2 linked regions of the Struthio camelus genome follow. The protein of the gene in region 1 purifies or fractionates together with the protein of each later gene. This does not show direct contact. Links are inferred from orthologs where the notes say so. Each region holds a gene or a part of one and is shown in the gene's direction. Other genes may lie near its edges.

Region 1 (10,520 bases):
CAGCTCCAGAGGTGTGCTTCAGTATTGTTTTTCCGTTGTTCTTCTCAAGGACACTCAGATCACTTGTAAACCTTGTGGTTTTTCTGACTCTGCAACTTTTTAAATTCACTAGAACTTTCCATCTTAAAAAAACCTCTCTAAGGCAAAAATAGTAGGCTGCAACTAACTGCCAGTGCTGCAGTTGCAGCCTGAGTGTGGTGCCAGAAGGGGTTGCTGTGCTGAGCAATACCTGTTCCCTCCCCTACTTCTTGGCTGGTGCCCTGGGCTGAGTTCAGAGAGGAAGAAGCAAGGAGCAGTTGCCTTTTTCCCTTCAGTGCTGTGCAATACCTTGAGTGCTTTATGGAAGGAAGGAGCCAGGAGAAGCACGGGAAACCTATGTGATAGGAAAGGGTGGTCCCCTTCTGCTCCTGGACGAGCCAAATGGGTGGAAACTAAAGACCTCTAGAGAGAGCTTGAAAACGTGGCTCCCCTCATCCCTTTGGGGATGGAGTGAGGAGAAACCCTGTGACTGCCTCCCTGGTGCATTGGTGGCAAGAGATCCCCAGTGGGCATTGAGACTGGGGTACCAGTCCCACACAGAGGGGCCAGAGCAAGGGACACTGGAGCAGCTCATCCCCATGGGCAGAGGAGAGTGGACAGCTGCAGACAACGAGGCTGCAGTACCCAACCTCCTGCCCACCTGTGTGGACCTCCCAGACCCTGATAATCAAAACAGCCACAATAATAATGCACTAAAATTGACTGACTTTTCTTCAGGGCATGTAGCTTCTGTGGAGAAATGTCTCTGAATATATATACACGCATATATACATATGTATATACATGTATATATATATGTATGTATGTTTATGCACACACACACACACTGTAGCTGCTGATGAACAAATCTATGACCCAGCCTGTTTGCTCTTCCCTCTTAGGGGAAGATTGAGCTTCTGGTACCCTTCTCGGTGCACACCGCTAGTTCCTCAGCTGCTAAAGGCACCCCCAGCTCCATCTCTCCTCTGACCAGAGGAGTGGTTGAGTAATACTGAAAAACAGGAAATTTTTGCAATGACAGTCCTAAAAAACATCCACTTCAAGTTGTCTGGAGAGGTTTTGGTGTTTTCTGGAGATAATGGTGACCTCAGGCCTCCTGAGCTGCTACAGCTGCTCTGTCCTGGTGCCTGCAGAGCAGAAAGCGAAACAACAGTTCCACATATATGGTGCGTGTAGCTTCACGGGGCTCGGGATGGAGAGGAGCTGCAGTCCCTGAGGCTGCTTTATTCTGCTTCACCCCAAGGCAAAAACACTTCCCCATGGGGCCCATGGCAGTGGGCACAGGAACCGATGAGCTCCTTTCCTCACAGGCTGCTTTAACCAGCGGGTCGTGCCACATTGCAGTGAGCAGGTAACTAGTGCTCTGGGTCTGGCTAGCACAGCAGATGTGATGTAAATGGAGTGTTGTACTGCATGCAAGCTGCGACATGCCTTCTAGTATTTATATAACATTGTTTTGCTTTAATCTGGCTTTTTAAGTAAATTGTCAAAACCCTTTCTGTTCACTAGAAGCCTTTTATTTATTTATTTATTTATTTATTTATTTATTTATTTATTTATTTTGGACTGCAAGTTTCATCTTTCAAAGCTTAGCTAGTTTTGAGTGATGCTGAAAAATCCCATTTGCAGTGGCTTTTTGTTACATGCCTGTATTGTTTGTGCAAAAGTGGTTGTTTTCTTTTCACCCTGGCATAGCTCAGGAGTGACTGCATGGTCTTAGCTCAAACTTTCTAAAAATATTCATCCATGAGGAGAGATCCAGCATGGCAGTGTTCAGACCAAGAAACTAATGCTTTGGAAAGGCATGACTCTGAAAAGAGAGTGGTGGCAGCATCATGAAAACTATCTGGTAACTATAAGCAGTGGAGCTGCAATGCATGTCATCCAGAGTATTTGCAGAGTGCTTTGGGTCTCTTTGGGGCACAGCAAGATAGAGAAGTAATGGTACCCAGGTTATAGGGGAAGTCCAAGCAGTGCCCACACAGCAAGTAGGGGCATAGGGGAAATACTGTCTGCAGGGAGGCTATAGGGTGACTCAGAAGTCATAAAGAAAAGCACCTCCTGCTGCTTGGAGAAGCAAATCTGAAAGATGAGCCTTCTCCTCAAGAGAGGTTGGTCTTAATAACCACATCCTCTTCTCCAAGGGTGAGACACTCGACCTTGGGGGAGGAGAGGATGGCAGGGACTAACCAGAGTATTAATCACACATATGACAAATTCCAGGAAAACATGTGGAAGCTGCTTTTTGTCCTTCCACTGGCTGATTGCAGGAAGCTCCCCAGGTGATGGCTTTAGCAGCTGCTGGGACAGGAGACCTTATTGTTCTGTGCTCATGATTTTACAGTCTTGTCAGTTTTTGGCAGGAAACTACACAACAAAACCTTCTAGTTCTTCTTTCTTGCTCCCTCGGGTTGCTCTCAAGGGGCTGATGCTTTGGTTTATCTTTTCCATTACACAGTACCTGAGGAGATCCAGCTTCCCTTTCCCAGCCAGGCCAAGTCTGATGGGCTTTGCCCTAAGATCCTGGCAGGACCACAGAGAATTTTCCCTAGACCTCAGACAACATTAAACATCACCACTCACAAGCCTGCCACGGCATTTCTAATGCTAAACTATGCGGTTGCCCAGCACACCAGCCCCCTTGTACCTATCTGGGCGCTGTTTAGTTCTTGTTCCCATTTCTCTGACCTTGGGCTCAAGTTCTCTTCCCAATTCAGGTTTCCTTAGTGACACTCAGAAGAAGCAAGTTTTGCATCTTTTTGACCTGTCCGGCATAGCACAGGGGGCCAGAAGGTGGTAGCACACTTGAGATTAAAGGATACGAGAATGTGAGGGACCTGTTGCTGTTGGTCTCACTAGAATCTGCAGCATGGAAACTTGAAACATGAAGCTATGTCCAAGAGCAGACTTCTAGGGTTGCCATCATCTCCCTGTTCTGCTGCTTCCTCATGATGCCAGACCTCCCTACAACATTGTGCCCAGCTTGCAGCTACTAGTAGCACGTGGCTGACCCAAGGGCACAGTTTCCGGCCTTGTCCTTTTTAGCTTGCAGCCTGGGGCCCTGAGACTGAGCTGAGGCAGTGTTAAATCCTGAACCTCTTCCCCGCCTCTTTTTTTCCTTCCCTTCATGGGGTTTTACACCAAGGCCAGGAATGAAGGTCACATCCCCTCTGAGGAATCAACAGGCTGTGGCGTTTCTAGCAATGGAGGCTGCGCGCTGAAGTCTGCCCTCATTAAATCCCCCTCCACCATGGAGCTGACGGTGCAGGCAGGTTGGCATGTCACCAGCGTTGCTAAGGGTGTCAGCGGAGGCTGAGGTTTTGCATCAAGCAGATGCATCAGGTGTTGCAATCTCACCTGGAGAAGAGAGTGCCTGGCTGAGGTTCAGCCCTCTCCACATTCGCTTGCATCCATGATCTCATGGGGTTTTGCAAGCACTGGCTGGGCACAGTCAGCCCACAGTGGGGAAGCTGCAAGGAAAGCTCAGAGCCCCGGCATGATTCAGCTGGGGAGTCTCTCTCGTGGCTGAGTCAGGCTTTATTCCAGCATCTTTGTGCTGTGCTTCGGTAGGGGGGGAGGGATGTCTCAGGCACAGCAGGAAACCGAGGCCATGGCCACCCCCACATTGCTGGTTGGCAAAAAGTGAAGGCTGGAGTCCTTCCCTACTCCCATGCGTGAGGACAAAATGGGTCTCCCTGGCACTGCCACCCCCAGTACAGCATCCTGGCCAAAACTGGCCAGCATGAGCCACGGTCCACTGATTCGCTCCATCTGGCCATGCGGGGAGATGGGCCATCGCTTTGCAGCAGCAAGCAGCCAGATAACAGGGCCCTGTGCCCAAAGGAGCCTGGCCGGAGACCACCACTGCTGGCTGGGGCTTTGCCCTGCAGCCTCTCCCAGCACGTTGTAGCCCCACGTGCCAGGGTCTCACGTGCTCGCAGAGGACTCTAGGAGGCCGGAGAAAGTCAGGAGGTCTCCCAACTTATCCACAGCCCTCCTCTCTCACTCCCTGTCCCTAAGAGCATAGCCTGGGGGCCCAGGCAGCCACCCTGCTTGCTCTTCTGCCCCAAAACTGGCTCTTGCCATGGTTGCTTCTGGTTTGCGGTATTGCTGTGCACAAGTAAACAGCTGCATCATGTCACCCTTGCAGGCTGCGCTGCACAGATAAATGGTATGATTCTGGGACGGAGGTGCCAATATATGGTTAGCTAGATTGAAGGGAGAGGAGAGGATCACTTAGCCATGACAGGGGGACCCCACTGCACGTTTCGTTTGTGTTTCCCACCAACATGATGTCTCTTGATCTCATCTCTTGACACATTGACTTTGGTACAGCAGTAAGGGTAGCAGTAGTGACCTCTGGTTACAATAGTAACCTCTGGTTTCCAGAAAAGGTGAATGGGCTCTTCCCAGACAATAGGATCTGCGGGTGGCTGGCAACAAGCCCAGGGAAGCCGGCCCTAGGACCTGATGCGCGCTGGAAAAACATGCCGCTGATCCAGGCGCTGATCCTTCTACCTTTAAAGCTTCCCTCCTGCGTGGCGGCAGGTCGGGCAGGCCGTGAAAGCCTGTCAGGCTCTTGCCCCTTGTCTGCAACGTTGCCAGGGCTGTGCGGAGCTCCCTGTGCCGCTGGGGCTCCTGCCCTGCTGGAGCACGCAACCAGATATTTCCTGCTTGCGCACGCCTTCAGGGCAGGCGTTTCCAGAGATCAGCTCCCTTTTAGCCCCTGTACTAAGCAAAAAGATCAGCGTCCCGAGCGCTTCAGAAAACTGTGTCCGTCCGAGCGCTTGGAGACAGGGCGGTGAAGGCTGGGCATGAAGGAGGGCCACCCGCCCGCTGTCAGCCACCCGCCCGGGGCTGGAGAGGGCGGCAGCTCCCCGCTTCCAGCCGCTGGTGGAGGCCCGTGGCACTGGGAGAGAACCCAACTGTCTGAGGGGGCTGCTCCTCCTGGCTGAGAGGGGCTGGTCTGTGCTGGCTCTGCCCTCTCCCGCGCCACGCCAGGGCGAGCTGGTGGGGGGAGGATGGGACAGGAAGGCCCTCGTTATTCAGGGCTTGCTAATTAGACGGGAATGTTATCTCCAGCCCAGATGTCAGCACTGACCTCCCTCTAACCTCCATCTGGAAATCAAAACAGACACAACTCTGTTTGTTTTAAAATAATAAAAATAAGCATTTGGGGTGAAGCAGGAAAGTCTGGCCCTGGGGGTACGGCTGGGGAGGGAGGAGGGCACGCGACCAGATAAGCTCGGTGAGATATGCTGAGCTGCGGAGTTGGAAGGGATGGGCCACCCTGCCCTGGGCAGAGAACAAGGTCTCCATGGCTTACTGTAGCTGTATCCATATTTTGGATCCTCTGACCTATTTCCAGCAGTGGTGACGGTGCAGTTTGCCTCAGTCCTTTACCAGACATGGCTTTCCATCCCACCCCAGCTGGGCCTGGTAGATCCAGAGGTGGAGCTGCTGCAGGGGGTGGGCTGAGTTTGAATTTAACTTCCATGCCTTTCTCTGGGATTGACCAAAGGGTCTCAGTGGGAGATGCTGACCCCTGGAACAAGCTCAATGTTTCAAATTTGACCAGACCTCCTTTTGCCTACCTAAGGCAGCCCCCCAAATTGTCTGCAGGCTAAAGGGAGCTGTGTGATGTGAACAGTCAGTGGTTTTTGTCCTTGGTTTCTAGTAAAAATGTATTGTATTATACCTCTGTAATAATCTCTTATAGCTGAGGATCAAACTTTGACCTGCTCTGAACTGAGCCAGGCCTTTGAGCACCTCACCCTTCATTACAGAGATTTATATCTCTGTTTCCCATAGGAGACCTCTTTTATTTTCTTCCTCTTCTTTGTAAGTCCACAGCTCTGGCTTGGCTCTGAACGCCAAGGAGGTCTTTACCCAGTATCCCTCATCCTTCTCTGCCAAATATTCCAGCATCATGGGACTGCAGCACCAAAGACCCTTAACACAGAGGCTTGATGGCTATGTTCCTGCTCCAAAATGAGGAAAGGATGTGGCCAGCTGAGAACCGGCACCCTCAGGTTTTCTCTTTCTGTTGCTGCCTCTTCCCTGGTCTGTAACTTAGCACTGCAGGACCCATGCCCGTGCCTTACACAAGGCAGCTACTGGTCTGGGCTTGGCCCTACCCTGCCTAATCTGTCCAGACTGCACAAACAAGAGTTTGGCCTGCACTGAAGTGCCTCAGGTCCTCCATCTGGGGAGGTACACCTCTTCACAGAGCTTCTGGCTTTGTAAGGCGGAAGCTGAGCTGCACACTCAGCTGACAGTGCAGAGATGCCCTGTCCTTGCCTCCCTCCTCCTGCCTGCAGATCACGTCTATGACCTATTTGGTAGCCTCATATCTGAGGTCTTGCATCCCTGCTCGGTCCCTTTTGCCATGTATTTCCCCGATCCAGAGCCTAGAGCTCTTCTCAACCTTCCCCATTTCCCATCCTTTATGAAGACTCCAGAGGGATTGCACATCAGGCTACAATTAGCAGTTCTTCTGTCTGTGCAGGGGGGATCCTGCTATTGCAAATGGCACCACTGATTTGCAATCATACGTCATTTTGCCTACCATCGTTCCTAGGCAGCAAGCAGGTAAAGGTCTTCCTTCTCAGTCTCCTCCTTTCAAAATGCTTGTCTGGTCCATGAGTAATGGGTGTTCTTTTTTTTTCATGCTTTAAAGGTTGTGCCTCACAGTTATGACATCATGGCAGTGATGCATTGCCCTCCGGCAACATCGCCAGAGCAGAACATGATTTCTGTCGTCCTGCCTTTTGTCTTCCAGTCCTAGCTACTGCCTGGTACACCTTGTTTCCCTGAGCCTCAGAGTTACTGAAGCAGAATAATAACTGAGAGGTGAGTAATTGAGAAGCTACCTGACCAGATTTAGACCTGACTGTAAACATCTTCTCTGGTAACAATGGGAAGGAGGATCCATGTTTGCTAGGGTACAGAGCAACTGAAGGAGAAGGATGATACACAGGTGTCCCTGGGTGCACTCACAGAAGGCATTCACGCAGTGTATGTGCAGTAAAACTCTGCTCCAGAAACCAGCATGGCTCCACAAACTTCAGTGAATTTGCACCCACTTTTATTAGCTGAACTTCTGAGACAGTATTTACGTGATAGGTAGGTGCACTGGCTCTCACTGTGTGACCATGCCTCCAACACACTTAGCATGCACACACAGGAACACGGGTACTGTGTACACCCCCCTCCCCCCCCACCTCAACAAATGCACTCACAAAGATATGTGCTTATACAGGTAGGTGGAGACACCTGTTCTTCTCCAGGAAGTGAGACAGACAGTTCCTCAGGCTGTTTCAGGATGGTCCTTTGCATTTGAAAGAAAGAGATTAACAAACTGGAGCAACTCCGGGGAAGGACCAGTAAGCTGGCTAGGGGGCTAAAGCATCTGCTCTATAAGGAGAGGCTGAGGTAGCTGGGTTTGTTTGGCCTAGAGAGGAGAAAGTTAGGAGGGGGAAGGGATCTAACCACCTTCTACTACCCAAAGCCGGGTGATAGAGAAGCTAGGTCAGACTTTTGTCAGAGGTGCTCAGCGAAAGGACAAGAGGCAACAACACAGAGATCGTGGAATCACCATGCTTGGTTTCATAGCCCGGCTGGACCTGGTGAAGCACTCTGATCTAACTCTGAAACTAGCCCTGCTCCAAGCAGTTGGTTGGACTAGAGACTTCCAGTGTTACCTTCCGCACTAAATGACTCTATGACTTTGGCAGTCCTACATGTTTGACAACAGAGTTTCCTTAATGCAGAGGCTGATCACAACCACTTGCATCTGATATGCTATAACAACCCCTGTGACCCCTGTGCAGATGGAGTGAATTCATTCATGGTGTCACTGCAAAAGGGGTTTTCTGGTTTCTCCTGGACTGTGATTCCCTGATTGTTTCTGACCAGCCTATGTCTGGGCTGCCACTGAATAATCCCTCTCACAGATGTGCCTTCCCAGCGTCTCTCTGGCACCTAGCTAGTCAACTGGGCCAAGAAAGTGATCCAGCTGGAAACATCTCTCATTCTTTTGGTTTATATTTGTTTCCAGCTCAATCAGCTGATTGTGTGATCTAGGGCTGGCAGTGGGAGTGCGAATATTGGAGGAGGAAGCAGAATAGGAGGGAAGGGGAATTCCTCTTTTGGGGGCTGCCCAAACTTGAGCTGGCTTAGAGCAATCATCAAACAACAGCCCTGATCTTTGTTAGGGTGAGAAGGAATGTGACGTTCCATCATTCTAGGTTAACCTAATCCAAGTTACTTGTCTCAAGGAAAGGGTGCACAGCCTCTCTTTCTTGAGCCATATGCCACCTGTGAGCAGTTCCAGGTGGCTGTTGTGGTAAGCTCAGGAGAGATGGTGCTGTGCTGGGACACAGCAGATGAAGATGCAGGGTAATCTGAAATCACAGCTACAGGAGGACACGAGCCAGTCAGTGTCTTGTGGCCAACACCTTTGGGTCTCAGTGCATGTCTGTGTGTGCCTGGCCTTGGTGCCTCCCATGGGGAGGGGGGAAGGACAGGAGTCCTACCTATGAACCATTCCCATAACTCCTGCACCCTCTGGATGCTTTCTGTCTTGCCTCTTAAAATATTTGGCCTGAGAACCATAAAAGCTCTGTACATGGTATTGAAGTTCATTAAATTTGGCAGCTTGTGTACCTCTGACTAAACCTGAGTATCTGACAATAGTAAGACCATGTGGTAAGCATTTAGCTCACTCAGCCCTGTGTTTCTGGGACTTGTATTATAGAGGAAGCTGGCTGTGCTGCTGTTTCCGCTCCTATAAAATATAGATAACTACCTCCTGGAGTGCTAAGTATGACTGTTTGGTAAGGATCTCTGAGGGCTGGCAGTCAGCGTGTGCTCTGTCCTCTGAAACACCAGCCTTTCACAGCTCCTAAGTAGAGTGGCTAATCCCTTGCCTCCCAATCTGCTGTTGCTTCCCAAAGCATTTCCGACATCTCAAAAGGAGGTGGGTGCCGCAACATCCCTCTTTTCTTCCCCATCGAGGGAAACTGAGTCACACAGGGGTGATGCCCTACAGACTGGTGGCAGGCCCAGAAAGAAAAATGCAGTCTGAAGCCCTGCTCACCATACTCCCCCACCCCAGCCACCATACACATGTGATCTGGTGGCTTAACTTTTCATGTCCTAGCTTTAATGAGCTTGTGTCAGGAATGGTATGTGCATAGCAGCCTTATCTGATGACAGTGACATTTTTAGCATGCTTATGCTTGGTTTTATTTGTAACCAGTTTCTAGGGCAATTCAGCTGAATGGTTTGAACAGCCTTGAAATGTGTAAGAACCCAATACGTACACTGGCTGCTCTGCCAGAGTTTTTGGGGGACTCTGGAGCATGTTCAGAGGCAAAAGGATCTGTAACAGACTCAGTTTGTGCACCAGATTTGCCAGCTGCAGCCTTTCACACACTCACTTGTGTCCAACAAACAACACTGGGATTTTTTTTTTGTTTGTTTGGTTTTCCTTTCTTTTTTTCTTCCGGTTCTCAGTAGTATCACGACCAGATGGGAATAGGTTTCCCATGGCCGATGCTGGTGACTCTCCAACCCATTTCTCCCTGAAACCCGCTACATCACAAATGCAGACGTTTCTCTTGCATCACAGCTCCAGCTAGTAGGAGGTATGAGTGAGAAAGGGAGGGGTCGTTTTCTAGTTTGAAATTTAAACAGCTGGATTCAGAGAGGGTTCCCAGGGTTTTTCCCAGGAAGGAGGTCAGTGGATTTTACAGGCACATAGCCTGGGAGCAAACGCCAGGAGTGCCCCTTGAGGCTCCACCTCCGCAGCTCAGCTTGCAGTGGAGCTCTCTTGCCCATATAAGGCTGCAGTTGTCACAAAGCAAAAGAGCCATAAATAGTCGTTTGATCGTTACCTGCCCCGCTCTGTGTGAGACTGGGCACCTTCCCAAGCCAGACTCTTCCTGCCTGTGCTTCCCAGTTCTCCCTTCCCCACCCCAGCTCCAGGAAGGCAGCATTTCCCATGTGTCTGCTCAGGGATGCGCTGAAGTCTGATTTCTTCAGGTGCTCTGCCCCCGACGTCCTTGCCTCCGACTGTTCAGAGTTTGTAAAGCCTCCCATCTGAGACTATGCATGTGCTTTACAGTAAACTGCTGCAGGAGGGAGGGCTCTGGCTCAGTTTCTCACATGTCTATGTGCCTTTTTTAAGCAGCTTGTGGGCCAGAAGGGCCCAAGTTTCTTTGCTTTGAAGGGTAGCACTTTCATTCTTCAACTGAGAGAGTTTATTTACAAGGAAAGGGGTAGGAGGAGAAATGAAAAAGCTTAGCAGGGCAAAACAAAATGCTAGTGGAGAAGATAAGCAGCCATGTGCAAAATGGCTGTTTGTTTTCTTCTCTCTCAGCATGTGAGATCCTGCAGGAGATGATGCACCCAGGCAGGGGATTGCATGATTGGGGGGGGGGGGAGGGGGGCAGGGGGGAGCTGCGGTGTCTGGTGTG
Region 2 (10,365 bases), about 34 Mb from region 1:
CAATACCAGATGTACAATGCAAGATGCAGCAACAATTAGTAACCATTTGCAAGCCAAAGATGAAGGAAGTAGTGTGAAGTAGGTTAGTGAGGAGCCCGAGACAGGGATCATTAAATTAATTATGCTTGGCAAATGCTCAGTGTGTGTGGGGGGGAATGACAATACCGTTGTACTTTGGCTTCTTCACAATTATCTATGTATTTGCCGACTGGTTCCATTTATTCCCCATTCCGACACCTTTTTACCTAGGATGAAACTGAGGGGAATCACCAGCTCTAATTCTGGGCTGGAAACTGAAGACCCCTGCTCATAGATACCACATACAACACTGCAAGTTCACTCCTGTGGCTGATGTATGTAGAATGACCAAGTTGTCATATCTCTGTTCAACCATGGCTTTTTTGCTAGTACCCAGGTGTATATTGTTCCTCTCTGCAGACGTGAGTGAATTGTATTTCCAACATACGAAACGATATGAGTTTTGTCTCACTCCTATCATGTAAGGCTCTACCCCATCAGGCGTTGTCTTCCCCTTCTCCCACAAGGAGCCGATAGTCCTGGGGGATCCCCTTCCCCTGCAGTTATTTTCAGTTAGGGTAAAAGCATCTGCAACAGCAAGGGCTGGACGTACACTTCATTGCATAACGACTGTAATCTCACTCTGTGGAGAGCCCTTGCGGCGAGGCCAGAATCCCAGGCAGGCTTCACCAGGCTCATCATTGCTTCCTTAGCTTCTCTTGCAACGCAGATATCTATTCCCAGTGGCCCTTTCTCAGTCTGTTGGCACCTTGCATTGTACGTAATGTTTTCTTTCTGAAGACTGTTTCAGTAGGAATTAGCGCATCCTCTTCCTGTATTTCTGAGAAGGCACGGTAAATCTCATTACCCTGGCGCAACATCCCCCAGCTGCTTGGAGGAGGAAGTGGAGAAAAATTGCCTTTGTTGGCTGTTGTGCCTGGCTCCTTGTAAAACTTCTACGTTGCTATGCTGACCTGGAAACCTAGCCTGAGCTGTCTCCCCTGCCCATGCCAATCTGCCCAAGGTGGTTCTGGGATGGTGCCATCATGTGTTTTCTCCCACTTGTCCAAGTCACTGTACCAAGGTCCTAATGAGTTTCTACTCACAGGGCAGTAGCGTAACCTCCTTCACACATCTACCAAGGGCCAAGAGTTGTCCTTATCCTATATCTCAAGCCAAGTCTTCCTAAACTGAAAAGATTTTCTTGAATGGATGGAAGGCCTCAGGGATCAGGCCGACTTTAACTCTTTGTATTTAGAAAGTCTCCTCAATAGCCACTTTGGAAGTTGATTGGGGAGGTAGGAAAATAGTATAAGCAGTGAGTGTGGAAAATTTATGGGCCCTTTCACTCATACTGCAGTATGGAGAGCCCTGGTAAACCCTGGGGAATGGGGGTCATTTTAAATTTCTTGCTAGAAGAATGACTCATCTGCTCTTTGGTATCCTCACTGCAGAAACAGACTGACTTGCTGACAGCACTGGAAAATACAAGTGGAAAGCAAATGGACATCTCTCTGGGGCTGCCTGACTGAATCAAATGTGAAGGCGATGATACACACAAAGAGCCCAATAATTTTCTAGATTTGAACTCTTTTGAGCTCCTGGGACATAGGCATCATTTTTGTGTTCAGGAGGACACATTTCTTGAATACTTGTTAAAGGCTCTTCAGACTGACACAGTTTCTCTTGACTCTGGACACTGCAGTCTTTTCAGGGTTAGTTATGAATAAGTTGTGGCCAAACAAATAACAGAGCAGAAGAAACCGCCAAACTGAGTAACAGGCTCTCTGGGCACAGTATGAAACATGATGGCTTTTTCAAGAGCCAGTGGTTAAGAACAACCTTAAACATGTCCAGAACATCTGTGGTGGGGACTTCCATAGGAGAATGCATTTGCCTCCTGAGTGAGTCACTGGTGTTTTCCATGTGCCATAACATTCCCATGAACCTGTATGCTGTGGCTGTACTTGTTCTACCGCGCTGTCAAATTGGGAAATGGAAGTTGTCCACAGCTCCTGTCACATTAAACTGTTCAGACCACTTGGCTCCATTGATCTTAGCAAATATACCTGGAGTCCTACAAGGCCTAAGTGCACCCACGCACATTCAGATCAGCAAAACATCAGCTGTTCTCTGAAGCAATTGTCAATGATGACATTTTGTGACAGGAAATCATTGCAAAATGCTGGGTTCTCAAGATTAAAAACTTCTGTCCTGCTCAGAAGAATAAACACAACTAGTACTTTCTAAACATAGATTCATTTGGATTTTGCTCTGGGACAAAAATCAAAACCACTTTTCAGGATTTATTGTCTAATCATTAATGCCTGGGCAGTCGGTAAATTTGTTACTATTACAATCTCTGATTTTCCACTGGAAAAAAAAAAAAAAAAGAAAAAAGAAAAGTTAAAGTTCAACCATAACCATTGGGTTTATCCATGCCAATTAAACCAGAAAAAAGCCATTACAGTATCTTGCTAAATTGTTTCTTGGATAACTCCCTCAGCAATACTAGGGAAATAGATGCAAAACCAGTATATCCATTAATATTCTTTTAATTCACTAGTGTTTCAAAGTTCAAGACAACCTTAAATGATTGCATCCTTATCAGCCTAACTGAGGTATAAAACACTACCCTCTTGCCCTCTCACCGTGGCATATGTTGGAATGACCCAGTAATAGCTGCATGGTAAGCAAACAAAGAGGCAACAGAAAGTCTTTCTGCTGAGTACCCACAGAGGAAGCAAAGGAGAAAGAAAAAGCAGGAGTTCCCTGTACAGCAACATATCTGCTTACTACCAATGCATGTTGGAGCAGAACTATTCCGTGTATGTTTAACATGACTGGATTTGATGTTTATGCCAGCAGACTCTGTCACACTTCTCACTCTGGCCCCGGCTCAGGCTGGAGTCTTGCATGTGCCCGCACGATATATGAAATGTAACCAACGAACCAATCGACCAAAAAATGTCCCCCTGCTATCAAGCTTTTTAAAGATTTGTTCTGTCCAAAAATAATACCAGTTTTCTAATTCACTGCCACCTTATGGCATTTTAGAGAGATAACACTTCAGTAATTTCTATCAGACGCTCAGTATTTTCAGGTACCCTCCCTGAGAACTTGGATGCTACCAAAAAAATGCTTTAATTTTGCATTTTAGCAACTATAAAGCTGTCTTTCCCATCCAGATCGGAACAATATTAATGTCTGGGACACTGGATTATTCTTGCTTGTGAAAACTGATCATTAAAACGTCAATTCTATTTATATTTACAGATTGTAAAGGGAGGTCATTTCATCAGCCAAGGGGTCAAACATAAATATGAAATTTGCAATGTTGTCAAAAGAGAACCTTTCAATCCAAAAGAGCAACTAGCTCACTCATGATTTGCCCAAATGATTTTAACTGTTAGTACAGTTTTGAAATCGAGAATGAAGGCTTAACAGATGCCCTTATCATGTGTTTATGGTTTTTCTGATAGCAGTCTTAACTAAGGAAATAGTCTATGAAAAAAAACTAACAGAAATTGGAAAGGGATGATATTTATCTGGTCTTCAAATACGTAACAATTCTCCTTTAAATATATGTGTGTGGTTTCAAGGTAGATGAGCAGAAAACTCTCTGACTGAAGTGGACAGGTTTTGGAGAGTTCATTGGTTAATAATTACTTGGAAATGTGGGCAGGACTGGCTAAGGGGAAGCAGGGCAGCTGAGATTTTTTTAGTGTACATTCCCCAAGTGGATGGATAGGGCTGGGATTTGGAAAAGCGAGATTAGTAGTAACTGAGAGTTTTGGTTTTGATATGGATTGTTTTGGTACTGAAGGGGAAACTGGTAGGGACGAGATAAACCATGTTGAGGAGTACAACCATGAAGGGTTGTTTTTTTTTTTTTTCCCGAGTTAACCTTGTTCTCCATAAGTAAATGAAGGTGATGTTTCATTTATGAATGTAGACTTGTCAGAGAGTTTTAAAAGACATGCGGCAAAGGGCTAATGTATGTGATTTTTATTTAATAGTCTTATGGGTAATGATGAATGCTAATGTAAAGAGATCATCGTCCCACTCCCCCTACCCCTGCCGCCGTTTTTCAGACTGTCTGCTTTGTCAAACAACAAAGCTTAGGGTCTCTCTTAGGTCAGTTCCACTATTTGTGTGGTCTTTTGAAAGAACTTCATCAGAATATAAGAAAACGTGATTTGTGTTGGTGTTGGTGCTCAAGGCTAAAAAGCGATTTCAAGCTCTGCTTTAAAACATGCCTGGAACATCTGATGGTTCATTTCCGGTAGAAGAAAGCTGGACACTGCCCAGTTGCATATTGACTTTGTCTTTTGAGTTAAGATCACTCTATATTAGAGAACTAACCCAATCTGTAGCCCAAATTGCTGTCCCCTGCTTTCTTCGCCTTCCATCCCCAGTAGTCTTGGTAGGGGGTGAAGAACTGTACCAGAATAGGAGAGAACGTGTCATTTTTTTGTGGTTGGTGACTTATGGAGACTGTGGCTGAGCAACGCTCAATATAGTGGTGTATCCGAGGGGTCTAGAGTGGTGAGTGAGGCCGGGTGGTTTGGGGGTGACTTCAGACTGTCTCTTTCAGTCCTTGGTAAGGCACGCCACCCTCGAATTTTAATTTCCCAGCTGCACAGAGCTGTGCAGGTAGCTCATGAAGAATCAAACCCTAAAAAGTCCTAGGTCCTTCGCGATAGTTAAAAATCACGTATCATTTATCAGAAGGTGAAAAGGTTTCTGGCAAACCAAGCACCCTGGGGTGAGCGGAGTGCTGAACAGGACCGTTTTGAGAGGGTGAGCTTGTTTTTTGCCTTGGAACAAAGCTCTTGCAAAGGATAAACGTCAGCTGCCTCTGGCCTGATCTTTGCTTGCTCATGTAGCAATGCCGTTTAGAGAAGGACTGAAAAAAGTAAAAGACTCTGGCAGCACTCTTATGCCTTGAAAGAAGCAGCTCTTAAATTTAAGAGTCTTAACACTGGCAAGAAAATGCTTCTGCCAGTCCAAGTTATTTTCTTGGTGGTATAAACTATTCTGGCAAGTACTTTTTTTTTTTTCCTAGTGGTAGAAGGAAGAGGTTCTCAGTTTTGGCTGAGGTCTGCTGAGTAATTTTCCTGGGGTCACAGCAGCAGGCAGCAGTGCTCCAGCTCCGGCTTTGCCAGGGCCGGGAGCTGTTGCCCCACAGACGCGTTAAGACCCCTGAAGAGCGTGAGCCCTTCCCGAAGAGCGTCGCGATAAACGCCTGGGACTCCGGGCAAGGCCAAGCCAAACCCGCTCATGGTGGCACCAAGGCCGATAAAATGCGGATAAAATGACTGCAGGACGCTCAGACGAGCTAAGGCGATTAGGTGCTGGCACAGGCCGCACCAGGCCGCGACGCCCCCTCCCTGCGCATGCGCGACGGCGGCACTGCGCACGCGCGCTCCCCTCCCCCCAGCCCCGCCCTGCGCCTCCAGTGAGGTCATAAAGGTGAGCGAGGCGGGGCGCGCGGCTGGGAGGTGGCGCCGCCGAGCCCCAGTGGGAGCGGAGGCTGCCAGCAGCGCCGGGCTGCGGATTGGCGCCGCGCAAGCAGCTGGATGGCGTCTTCGGGCCGCCTCATCCCCGCCGGCCAATCAGAGGCCTCCGCCGGGGAAGCCAATCGGAGCCCGGACGCGTTCTCCGCCTCAGGCTGCGGCTTGAAACCGTCCCAGGGCGACAGCGCGTCCCCTCATTGGCTCTCCCGCTTCGGCTCTCTTCGGGTGGGCCCGGTAATGGCCGGAAGAGAGGGCCTCTTCCTATTGGCTCGCCGATCGCGCTGCTAGGGCGGCGGCAGCAATTGCCGATTGGGTCTGCGCTCTCCTTCGGCGAGACTCGGCTGCGCCCGTAACGACTCCGCGATTGGTTACGAGGCGTTAGAGGCATTTCTGTAGCGGCCTCAGGATTGGCCCCGAGGAGGCTCGGACGTTTCCGTAAGGGCCTCGGGCTGGGGGCTGGCGAGTGCGTCGGGCTCTTCGGCTGGGTATTCACAGAAGGTGCTTAGGGCCGTTCCGCAGCGTAGGGCGGCAACGCGCATAGGCGGCTGCGCGGCTTTGGCGCACACACAGCGCGCAGCAGCAGGAGCCCGGCACGCAGCGGAGGCAGCAGCGGGGACAAAGGGACTGATCGGCAGGAACGGGGAAGGGGGCCCGGCAGGAGGCAGCCGGCGCCGGGAGGGAGCGGCAGGAGCCTTTAGCCGGGCGGGCGAGTCCCATGTGCCTTGGACGCCCGGGGAAGCAGCAGCAGCAGCCGCCGTCGCCGCCAGCGCTCTGAAGCCGGCTGACGAGGAGCTGGGGAGCCGCCGCCGCCGTCATGGCCTGCACCGCCGCCTCCGGCCGCCACCCGCACTGCAGCCTCCCCAGCCTGAGCCGCCGCCAGCTGCCCCTGCGGGCGCAATGAGGAGCCGCGCCGGAGCCGCCGCCTCAGCGCCGCACTGAGAAGCGTTAGCGAGCGAGCGAGGCCGCCCGGGCCGCTTCACCCCCTACTCCGCCCGCCGCGGATCCCACCGCCCCTGCCGGATCCCCTTGCAAGCGGGGCGCATCACCTCCTGTCGGCGGATCCGGGAGCCCCGAGATCCTTCCGCCGGGGAAAAATAGTCCCGTTCCCTGCTGCCTCCCGAAGAGGCGAGGGGGAAGGAAAGGAGAGGGGAGGGGGAAGAGGAGGAGGAGGAGGGGAGGAAAAAAAAAAAGAAAAAGAAAGAAAAGCCCGGCGGACGGGATCAGAGGAGCCCGGCCATAAGCCTCCGCCCCATGTGACTGGCGCTCAGGGTGGGGGCAGCGAGGCCTAGCAAACCCCCATCGCTTCCCAGCCGGGAGAAGGAGCGGCGGCGGCGGCGGGGGCGCTGCGGACTGGGTGGAGGCCGCGCTCGGAGCCGCTGGTGCTGCCGGCGAGGATGTCCTTATAGGAGGCGGCGTGAGGCGGAGGAGCCGCGAGAAGCGCGACGAGACCCAGAGGGCAGGGGGCTTCCCCGGCCGGGTTTTGGGGGGGGGGTCGGGGGGGGGAGAGGGGGGGCCGGGAGCTGAATGCAGCGGGCCTGAGCCGCCTCCTGCGGCCGGGCGAGAGCGAAGCGGGCGGCGGCGGCAGCGGGGCAGGAAGGTGACCAGGGGCAGAGGAAGCGACGGAGACCATGTCCGGGCGGCCCAGAACCACCTCCTTTGCGGAGAGCTGCAAGCCGGTGCAGCAGCCCTCGGCCTTCGGCAGCATGAAAGTTAGCCGTGAGTATTGATTCGCCGCCCGCACCCTCTGCGGGGCGCCCGCCGCGGTGTTTCGTCCTGGGGGTGGCGGGGGGGGTTGTTAATTTTTATAATTCAATTTATATATATATATATTTATATATATACGTATTTATTTTATATATGTATATCTTTCGGTAAATACGGTAACGCAGTGGCTCGGAGCCTGGGCAGTGGCAGAGTCCTGGGCTGCCTCTAGCCCTGGATGAGGCGGCTCCCTTTCTCTCCCCTTCCCTCCCCCTCATTAACCTTGAATAGGCACACATCATGGTTTCGTTTGGGGCCTGCTTAACCAAAAAAAAAAAATATATATATATATATATATGTATATATCGCTTGTTTTATCCGTTTCTACAGCCTCTTGTCTCTGCTAATATTGTGAGCCGCCCGTTTGGCTAATTGAAAAGAATATTTCTTTGGAAAATGGATTGGAAGCTCTAGAGGCTTTTTTTTTTCCTCCTTCTGTGAAAGGAGGAAATGAATTACGGACCCGTAGGTATGGTCGTGACATTCATGTTCAGTATACGTTTGTATAACTGTTGGTTCTCCTGGAGAAAGCTTAGTAGATTTTTTTCCAGGCAGCTGTAGATCGGGTGTGAGCACCTTTTGTAAGCCTTTCTTTCTCTCTCTCTCTCTCTCTTTTTTTTTTTTTTGTGGGCTGCACTAAAATGTCTCTCTGTAATACGAATCAGGCTCTGCTAAAATGCTCAATAGAGGGGATGAGGAAATCGTTAATATGACATGTGAGTCTATGGAGTAGTTATTTCAAGCTCAGTATGCCTTTTCCAGTTTTCTGATCAGAGGAATTTTTCTTAAGAACGAGGCCTATGCTCTATTCTGCACAGGCGTGTTGTAGATGGAATAAGTATTTAATATGTGCCCATCCTTCATATTCTAGCCAGTGGGATTGGGTATTTCGTGCGAATTGGAAATGTGTATTAAATATTAACAAATGTATGGTGTGAATGGAGAAAGGCCCTATTCTGAGTCATGAAAGACTAGCTACGTGTCCGCAATACAGAATTTGTTGGCTCCTGATTTGAATATGTTCATATTAACAACTGAATTGTTCCTGCAGGTTCGTGTTACTAGCATAGTTCTCAAAAGTATATATTTTTTTCTTGTGGAAATAGAGGGTGGCATCATTATGGGACGCGGAATGCTTGGTATGCATTACTGTTCAATCGATTTATTTGATGCTTGTGTATAGCCACACCTGACAGCACTGTGTGTGTGTATCATATTGTTTTGGGCATCTCATGCCAAAGCTGTATGTGATTGTGAGCTTTTGACATACCAGAAATGTTGGCATTTTTCTGCACCGAAATGTCTTCTACTGCGGTTGAAGCCTTGAAGAGAGCATTGGGCTTGGGGTCTTGTAGTCTACCTTGTATCTGCATGATCAGAGTGCCTGCAGTACTTAGAAAAACATGGAGTGCAGTTAATCCATATTAGCAGCATAAGAGTGTATGTTTGATCAGATCCAGCATTAGTGTGTATTAAGACTCTTTAATTTTTGTGGGGAAAATCTGTATATGACTCCATTTTAATTTATTGATTCACTTTATGTGAATGTGGCATAGGAAGCGGGTCTTGTTGATCAATATTTCTGCAGGTGGTTCTGTTTAAACCAAGCCAGACCTAGACCTGTCACGCTCAGAAACTATATTTGTCTTATTCCAGCTTTAAAGCTTGATTCTTGAAAGGTCATTGATACTCTTTTCCCATTTATTTGAGGTCAAAGACTAGACAGATGCTTACCTATGAAGAGGGTGCTAACCGATGCAGACTAACAAGTTTGCAAATTTGATTCAATCCCAAGTGTATAACACTGAGGGAGAAACAAAGGCCGTAGCATAAAGCACATGCACTTGTGATAACCCCCACAATCGCTCTAGTCATGTGCCCTGTTCCTTCTGCTGTCTGGAAAAAAATGTCAGAACAAAGCAAGAGAACCACATACAAGGACTCTGTGGGAAATACAGTTCATATTTTCAATTAAACTATCCAAGTAAGACAGTCCAGAAAATTAAGATTTAAAAAAAAAAAAAATCTTTTGTGAGAGAGCAGTGATGCTGCCAGGTGCCAAAAACAGTGGTAATTGTCTGGGTCTCGTGAGTTCTGGTAGCATCTTAAGGTATGATGTAGCAAGTCATCTATTAGCAGTATTGAGTGCTTGGAAAAAATCACTTGTATGGTGAACAGGGAGTTTCTTGGCTCTTGCTTTTTACTTTTTATATATAGATAGATACTTTAATGATATTCTCAGCCCTTTTGAGTGAAAGCTGGAGTGAAAGAATCCTTGTGAAGCAGATGAAAATTGATGGTTCAGTTTGAGTCCTATAGTCAGCTTTAGTTACCTCTGTCTTGGTGCAGGTCTTCTCCAAGTTGCCAGGGATTGAAAGCTGACTTGCTTGATGTCAGCTTCATTGCTTGTGTTTGTAAGCCTGGAGGAGCAGTGGAATGAAGCGATCAGGTCAGTTTTGCTCTGGTATTTGCACAGGTATTGCTGCTCCTAGTTAGGCACAGTAATGGTTATGTGGGAAGGAAGGATTCAAATGGTGGTGAGGGACTTATGAAGTAGTGGAGGGCTCACCGATTCATGGGTTATCTAGGATGAGAGGTACTGGAGAAGTACAGTGATGGGTTCTTTGGTTCAGGGTACATGTGAGAGAGCAAGCAGGTTTTTCATCTCTTCCCTGGGTAATTTATTAGACTTTGTTCTCGGAAGCTGGTAAGAAAGCCTGAACCTTGAAGGGAGAGGACAGACGATTCCCAGCAACTTCGCCTTTTCTAGCTCTTGGGAAAGATGACTTCTCATGCATGCTGCTCTCATTGCTCGGTAATAGGATTTATTAGGATTTTAACATCCCTGTAAGGATAGGAGCCCTGTAGCCTTTTCATGCATCTTTAAAGGCATACCTGCATCAAGAATATCTTCTGAGATCTGATTTTTTTTTTTCTTAATATAGTTGATGTTTTTTGAAATCGTTACACCATTCTTTCCACCACTCCATTTGGATTTCTACATTGAAGTAATTCTCAAGTAGCTTGTTCTGTGCGCAGATCTGCGTAGCTGGGTTTGTTGGCTTCC

Evidence for each region. Proteins that work in one complex are often made in the same cells at the same time.
Region 2: the proteins of MYH9 (region 1) and GSK3B purify together in Homo sapiens (affinity purification with western blotting; 4 studies listed by BioGRID, with this or other methods). This does not show direct contact. The link is inferred for Struthio camelus from reciprocal best matches to the Homo sapiens genes MYH9 and GSK3B.

What each region holds. Positions count from the first base shown.
Region 1 is NC_090942.1:59,382,743-59,393,262, forward strand, and holds the start of MYH9 (myosin-9), read left to right. Parts: upstream 1-6,718; 5' UTR 6,719-6,891; intron 6,892-10,520. UniProt on the Homo sapiens protein: Cellular myosin that appears to play a role in cytokinesis, cell shape, and specialized functions such as secretion and capping. Required for cortical actin clearance prior to oocyte exocytosis. Promotes cell motility in conjunction with S100A4.
Region 2 is NC_090942.1:93,116,380-93,126,744, forward strand, and holds the start of GSK3B (glycogen synthase kinase-3 beta), read left to right. Parts: upstream 1-5,825; 5' UTR 5,826-7,165; coding exon 7,166-7,253; intron 7,254-10,365. UniProt on the Homo sapiens protein: Constitutively active protein kinase that acts as a negative regulator in the hormonal control of glucose homeostasis, Wnt signaling and regulation of transcription factors and microtubules, by phosphorylating and inactivating glycogen synthase (GYS1 or GYS2), EIF2B, CTNNB1/beta-catenin, APC, AXIN1, DPYSL2/CRMP2, JUN, NFATC1/NFATC, MAPT/TAU and MACF1.